2 linked regions of the Schizosaccharomyces pombe genome follow. The protein of the gene in region 2 interacts with the protein of the main gene of each other region in a biochemical or structural test. Each region holds a gene or a part of one and is shown on either strand. Other genes may lie near its edges.

What was found. The genes of interacting proteins can lie anywhere in the genome.
Region 1: the proteins of acp1 (region 2) and stg1 form a complex in vitro, tested with the Schizosaccharomyces pombe proteins (one study listed by BioGRID).

Annotation. Positions count from the first base shown.
Region 1 is NC_003424.3:2,659,476-2,663,235, forward strand, and holds stg1 (SM22/transgelin-like actin-modulating protein Stg1), read left to right. Parts: upstream 1-2,221; 5' UTR 2,222-2,325; coding exon 2,326-2,850; 3' UTR 2,851-3,060; downstream 3,061-3,760. Other genes in the region: SEACAT complex subunit Sea2, read right to left, coding at 1-1,109. UniProt on the Schizosaccharomyces pombe protein: Has actin-binding and actin-bundling activity and is a component of the actin patch. Stabilizes actin filaments against disassembly. Cross-links F-actin and is required for the formation of the contractile F-actin ring.
Region 2 is NC_003424.3:4,583,534-4,587,406, reverse strand, and holds acp1 (F-actin-capping protein alpha subunit), read right to left. Parts: upstream 2,193-3,873; 5' UTR 2,153-2,192; coding exon 2,083-2,152; intron 2,037-2,082; coding exon 1,843-2,036; intron 1,779-1,842; coding exon 1,272-1,778; 3' UTR 871-1,271; downstream 1-870. Other genes in the region: til1 (tRNA(Ile)-lysidine synthetase family protein), read left to right, coding at 17-823; succinate dehydrogenase subunit Emi5, read left to right, coding at 2,382-2,674, 2,731-2,857; peptidase Icp55, read right to left, coding at 3,074-3,244, 3,289-3,396, 3,446-3,667, 3,711-3,788, 3,850-3,873. UniProt on the Schizosaccharomyces pombe protein: F-actin-capping proteins bind in a Ca(2+)-independent manner to the fast growing ends of actin filaments (barbed end) thereby blocking the exchange of subunits at these ends.

The DNA of each region.
Region 1 (3,760 bases), 1.9 Mb from region 2:
GAAGAGAACACAAGGCTATTTTTAGTTGACCATGAACTAGTTGCACGTGGAAGCATATCAATACAATTAAAGGCATTTTCAACTCTCGTCTGAGAAAAAATTCCATCTTTACTACAAGACCAGAGTAGCTCTGTAGAAGCCCAATGCATCGTTGAAACAATACTATCATGACAACTGACGGTTCTGTATGGGATATAAGGCCTAGTAATATCCCAAACATTTATTGCGGTATCACCTACAAGAGAAGAGCTTGCAAGTTGATTAGAACCTCTCGATTGCTGATTAGCCGGTCGCCAACGAACACAATTGAGGGGACTGACATTATTGATAGTTATAAGGGACTTTTTTTTGTTGCTTGTGGAATCCCAAATACGAATAGTCTTATCTCTCCCGCATGACGCTAAAAAAACACCATTAGGACTATAATTAACACACAAAACAACACCATTATGTGCAGCTAATTTTAAAAAAGGAAGTTTTGGAAACCGGATATCCCATTTTTGCAAGATCCCACTGTCATAAGCGGCAACGAACTCATTTGGCTCAGAAGGGGAGAATACGACGTCTCGAGCAGCTTCAGAATTTCCACGAAAAGTGATTGTTGATGAGCTTTCCTTGTAATCCCAAAGCTTAATTAACCCATCCTGAGAGGCTGTTAAAACGTAAGACGGGTGAAATGAAGAGATATCCAATTTATGTACGGCTCGAGAATGCTCATTAAAGTCATAGAGAAGGGCTTCTAAATTAACATCCCATACATTGAGATTACCAAGCGGTGAACATGTAAAAATTAAATTTGAAGCAAAACTACTACCCCACTTTACATCATTGCAAGAGATGTGCTTTGTTTGTGTTGATTTTTGTAGAAGGTCAGAGATGCAAACAGGAGGCTTTGAAGAGTTTGGATTAACAGCTAGAACTTTTAGAAGCTCTCGGCCTGCTACACCCACTTTTGTACGGCTTTTATTTACCGAAATAGCACTGATGGAGGCCTTTACATCAACAACCCAGTCTTGGTAACTAACAAGTCCTTTGGATGACTTTACAGATGTGCTAGCAAGTTGGGCATAAGTAGGTCGCTGAAGGACGTTTGAGTTTCGTGAAGGCATTTACGAATTTGAAAACAAAATGAAGCTGGTAGAGTAGCAGCTGATGCCTTCTAAAATGATTTAGGAAATTTGCATACAGAAAAGGAAACAAGTTCTTAAATATCGGACAGGAAGTCAAAGAAATTGCTGAAGTGAAATGCAAGTATGGTGACACTCACCGTACATTGGTAAAATTAACGTTGCAAGATCGTTCAATAGTAAAAGTCAGAAAAAAGTAGACTATTCTTTATCAAACTATTTGTTTTGATACATTAACCAAAAAGATAAAGTAGAAAAGTAGAGGAGCAACTAACAGTAAGAAAAGTTTCTGCTAATGTAAATATCAAGTCCAATGTTAGTGAACAAATAAGAGCTTTCGAATTTTCAATTATTGAGGAAATTCAATCAGAACAATTACACATCGGAAGTTTTCAAAAGAATAAAAGTTCAAATATAATTTATTTTTACGAAGTTCAGTTGCTTATTGCTTCTAGTAAGTTTGGTTTTGTGAATTTACTTCTGAATCTCGCTATGAATCAGCAATATTGCATCCTGTAACGCTATACTGCATTCCTGTAGAGTTCATTATATAGGTTTCACATTTTACTATGGCATTTGTCGCGTATACATGACTTATGATTTAAAATTTCGTTTACGCTGATTTACAACATTTAAAGAATGGTACTGTTGAGCTTATCTTTCAATGCTTCTTTCGTAGAGTTATAGTAGCTACAATATTAAATATGAAGATAACATGTTATATATGACGATATAAGTAAGCAAAGCCGGTCAGTCCAATGTCAGTTGCACAGTGTCAATCGAAAAAGCGGTTTGCAGTACCTTGTCGGTTTGTATTTTGTAATATAATGATGCTTTCGAAATTAAATAAACAAGTCTTCATTCCATAAACGAATTGTGAAGCAAAGTAATTCGACTCTACTTTATATAGTACTAATTAGTAAGAACAAATCATCAGTTTACCGTACAAGAGTTAGTTTGCTGATAAAGAGTTTACGCAGTCTACTGTACCTTAAACTCAGATACGAATTGCGTAGCTGGAGTTACGCTAAATGATCTATTAAGTCCAGTTGCTACACATTGAATTAAGATGGCACTCGTCAGGCTTATACGAAGCCGCTTTTCACTAACCACCTCTGAAAAACCAAACTGTCATTGGGCGTTCCGTGATATAATTTCTTGGAACTTTTCTTTATTTTTATTTAAATTTTCGTGAGAAATGACGTCTCAACTTGAAAAAGAAGCAAGAGAATGGATCGAAGAAACTTTGCATACGAAATTGAATGCTCAGTTAGACTTACTGGATCAATTACAATCCGGGGTGATTCTTTGCAGAATTTGCAAAGAAGCTTTAGGCGCTAACATTCGATACAAAGAATCTAACATGCCTTTTGTCCAAATGGAAAACATATCTGCCTTCATTAACTATGCACAGCAAGTTGTACATGTTCCTTCACAAGATATGTTTCAAACTTCTGATTTATTTGAGCGGAGAAATGATGAACAGGTTTTAAGAAGTATTCACTCCTTTTCGCGCTATGCCGCGAAAATGTTTCCCGGCAAAGTTCGTGGTTTGGGTCCTAAATTGGCAGAGAAGAAGCCTCGTGTTTTCTCAGCACAGCAGCAGCGTGAGTTTCGAGAAGGCGTAAATAGTCTTCAGTATGGAAGCTTTGATATGCCGACACAGGGAACCGAGAAGATTGCATTTTCTAGACGCAGGGACCCGACCGGAAATATGTATTAGTCTTGTGTAGGGAAAGAGATTGAAGATTGTATAACTTTATATCTTCGCTTCTTGTACTTTTTGATAACTTATTTATTTTCATTCATTCGTAAAATCTGCCGAATCCATAATAGGAGTGAAACGTGAGGTCTTGTAAAAGATGTGTATAAATATAGAAGCTTAAGTTTTGCTTTAAATATTCATAATGATATGTTTTTTTTACGACACTAAAACATAAATTGAATTATAGTTTGATTCGTAGTTTGAAAACACATTTAAAATCTTATGTTTGGTGCTGTATTGCTAGATTTCTCGTCGTATCAAATGACTTAAAAAAGCAATACGACAATTCATTGTTTCATGAGCGTTTCCTTACAAAGCTGCAGAGAAAAAAAAAAATGTTGCAAAAATTAGTTATGGAAGTATCAGTGATTAATAAAAATGCACACTTTATTTATTTATTTTGTTATTTTTGTATTCAATTTCTTAAATGATAAGCAGGTCGGTAAACGTATTTACAAATAGTTTTGTGAGATATTATAAAAAAAAAATGTATGTACATTGAAAATTGCAGAAATACTAGAGATGTTGTTAAAATTGTTTGCTTAAAATTTACTCAAGTCAGAAATTAAATAAAAATTTTAAAGCTTGTATACAAAAGAAAATGCTGGTAGACCAGTTTTGCAAGAAACAAAGTAGATAATAAAATTGCATGTATTGCATTTGTTTAGACATTAGTGTTATTAAAAGAAATCAAACAAATAAGTTTTTAAACATTTAAAGTGTAACAAATCAAACTCTTTTAGAGTAGCAAAAAACCAAGGCTACTGCCATTTCCACATCGCTAAGAGTCAATATAGAGGAAAAAACGTTTGTACATTTTCAAAGTTTATTCTTCCGACAACTTATCACAAATCGAATTTTTATTTTC
Region 2 (3,873 bases):
AACCTATGAATTGAAGAACCAAATATTAAATACCGCAAAACAACATGGAATTGCTTGGGAAGAGGATCCAACAAATGCTGATATAAATCTCACCCCTCGAAATGCAATACGAAGATTTCTAAACCAACATGCCGCATTGACCGTAGAGGCTACAAAACTAGCTACCGCGTTTCAGTCCTTACAGGTGAACATAGATAATAAAGTTGATGAAATACTAAAAGATAATATTGTGAGCTACCATCAGCCATCTGGTACATTATCTTTATGCTTTTCAAAAAATGAGCTCAAAAAGCACTCTAATCTTACTAAGGAAGAATTGCTCTTAAGGTGTCTAACATTGACTACAAGTTGCAGACAGATTAAACGATCTTCTGTTGTAAGCCTTTGTAATTCAGTTTTTGATGGAAAAAAGCTAACAATTGCTAAATGTCTACTCACTTCCTCTTCTATAAAGGACGACACTAAATTACAACTCCAAATTTCCAGACAACCATTTAGTAAAGCTGAATTGAAAAAAAAAACTATAACCATAAATCCTGATCGTTATGTTTTATGGGATCACAGGTTTTGGATAAAGTACAGTTGCAAAAATACACAGACTACACTTATACTTAGACCGTTGCTTTCCAAAGATCTAAATTCATTGAAGGGATTTTTGAGTAAGGAAGAGTTTCTTAAATTTTGTATACAAGTTCCGGGCCATATCAGGTTTACTATTCCAGTCTTGTCGGAAGAAAACGATAAGTTAGTTGGAATACCTACTTTTGGGTTTAATTTTAGAAGTGATATTATCTCAAACTGTCTACACAAGTTCAAGCTTTAATTGCTGCTTGAACCATGAAATCAATGTTAATTAGAGATACAAGATTTGTGATTTAATAATGCCTCATTATTTATTTATATTATCACAAAGTCAGAGGTGAAAGTCAGATGCTCAGAGCATATTCTGGTGATAAATAGCACGACTGATGCTTACACACAAAAAGTAATACGCCCTTAAATTACTGGTGACGAGCGGTAAAAAAATGATGAAGAACTTGTATTATTGATCGTAAAAAAATAATTTCCTAAAACTTATAAGAGTTTAAGAAAAGAGCGTGTGAGTTGCTCTTGTAAAGTTTTAGAAAGTAAACGACTAGTAATTATTAGTCGTATATCGAGCGACAATGTATATGTATTTAGGAAGAAGGAAAAGGAAACAGCTTGAATCACCGTCTTAAAAAATATCGTCGCAAAAAAATTTCCAAAATTTATAAACACATATAAGTGTTTCAAGTATTTCTCATACGGATGCCACTAACGTTTTCCCAATTAATTTTCTGGCGAGTGACTGGAAGTTGACGACGCAATTCTTTAAACTTTTTGTCATTAAGTGAAGAAAGTTCAACGTTGAAGGACTGTTGAATTCCATTTTCGACTTGAGCCAACACTTCATAAAGCTTACTGGTCTCCTCGACTGTAGCAGAAATAGGACGGGATGCATCCAACCAAACATTTCCGTCTTCATAGTAATGAACACGAATATGCGACCTGCCTTCCAGTTTCTTTTCCGAAACGTTGTAATTGCATATACAGCGCCACGAACCGTTCCAATAGTTCTTGGGATTATACTTTGAAGAAACCAAAACAATTGTAAACGATTCCACTTCATCGCTTTTTTTGATGATTCCAAATGTTACATCAGATAGATAGTGATCCGAAGCAACCTTTTTAATTTGCTTTACTATTTCATCGGGAATTTTTATGGCTTCGGTATAATCTTCAACGTTTTCAGCTTCCTATGAATACTGTTAGCTATTTAACAATTATCACAAAAAAAAGATTTGAAAAATTTAACCTTACCATAGTTTCATAATTAATGGTAAATGATTTCTGTAAAACTTGATCATAATAGCGATTGCCCTCTAGACGATTATCAGCTGAAATAATTACTTTTTCGTCATCCGATATGCTGACAGAAGAGTTGTAGTCTTCATGATAAAGCTTCAGTTGTTCGTGAATTGCTTCCTCATCACTTAGACCGATGTCGCGTATATCTATTATATGCATTAGAATGTTGAGGTATTCAGCACTTTAACAAACCATGAACTACTTGATTAACTTCTCCTGGAGGAGATTCTCTAATGAGTTTGTAAATTGCCTCCTTTTCCATCTTTCGAAATTTCTATAATGTGGTGCGGACAATGGTGAATGGTAAGAAACGAATACGGATGGTGAAGACAATGCCGCAAAACTATCACCAAAGAGTTGTATAGTCTACCAAATCTTCCAAAAAAAGGAGCTATAACCTAATTTTTTTTTCTTTTTATTCATATATAAGTAAATATAGCCTCGGAGGTCGTCTGGTTAATCGCTTAGTTGTTCATTTGAAAATATCAACAATGTTAAGGAAGACAAACTTATCTAATATCACGACGCTTCTAAGAAGTGCAAGATGTATGAATAGAATGCCTCAACTTCGCTTCGAGCATACCAAAGGTGATTTAAAAAGGGTGAATCGCTCTTACGAGACTAGAGACGCAATGTTGGCAAGACTTAAATATCAATCTAGAAAACGGGGAATATTGGAAACGGATTTGCTTTTATCTAATTTCGCCAAAGATCAGATTGATAAATATCCAGTATCTCTTCTGCGAGAGTATGATCAATTATTAGATGAGCCCGATTGGGATATGTAAGTAAATGAACTTGATATACTTAATGTGCGCTATTTTAACGTCCAATTTTTAGTCTATACTGGTGTTCAGGAGAAAGGGAAGCACCTGAAAAGTGGAAATCGAGTCAAGTCTTCAAGGAATTGAGCAAATACTGTCGAAGTCAGAGGAATCATACACTTCGAATGCCAGAACTATTTTGAAAACGTTTCTTGTTTCTCTAAACTAATGTTTATTTTTGACGTTGACTTTTCAATAAAATATTAAAAAAAAATTCGTGTAATGATTAAAATTTAACAGTATATATAGATTTTTTTCCCTTCAATCTTACTTCTAAGAAACTTAGTCCAAAAATAATGTCTTTTATTCTACGATAGTCAGATGTAGTCCTAATTCTTAGTCAATAGGTAACACAATCTCTACTTTTTCAAAGCTTCAATTTCTTCAATTTCTTTTGGAGCAGCACTAGTTAATACGAACGGCTTGTCATCACCAACGATTACGCTATCTTCAATTCGAATAGCTATTCCTTGAGCCCATTGAGGCCATCCGTCTTCTTCTGGAACATATAGTCCGGGTTCTATGGTAATCTAAACCCCGTTTAGCAAATAATCTGAAAAGAACTTCAACTTACAACTTGGTTTTTGCGCAACGGTTGGTAACCATTATTCGTAGAACAATCGTGAATCTCTAGTCCAATCTCATGCCCAATTGAATGCGGATACAATATATCTGTAATCTCCTATAGCCAAGGAAGTTAGTACGAATATTTTGCGAAGTAGCAAACTTACCCGTTTAGTTCCATGAATGCCGACCTGCTTCAATTCTTCATGCATTAATTTAACACTTTCAAAGTGAATATCAGCCAAGCTCCAGCCATTACTGGTGCAACAATACTTAATACATTTCTTTTGCACATTCAGAACTGCTTGATATAAATCCCTTTGTACAGTACTAAATTTGCCGTTGATGGGCCAAGTCCTCGAGATATCTGTTACATAACCACCGAATTCCTGTTAAGCAAGTGTTAATTGACAAAAAATTGAAGGCACTTACACCGCCAGCGTCTACCAAAACCATTTCGTCAGGACGGAATATATCATTATTAATTGTGTAATGGATAGTCAAGCCATTCTTCTTTGTTAATAAAGCTTAAAGTAATAGCATTCAGCATTTTCAGGAATTGATTACTTACTTTTCCACCTGCTACTACAGGCAC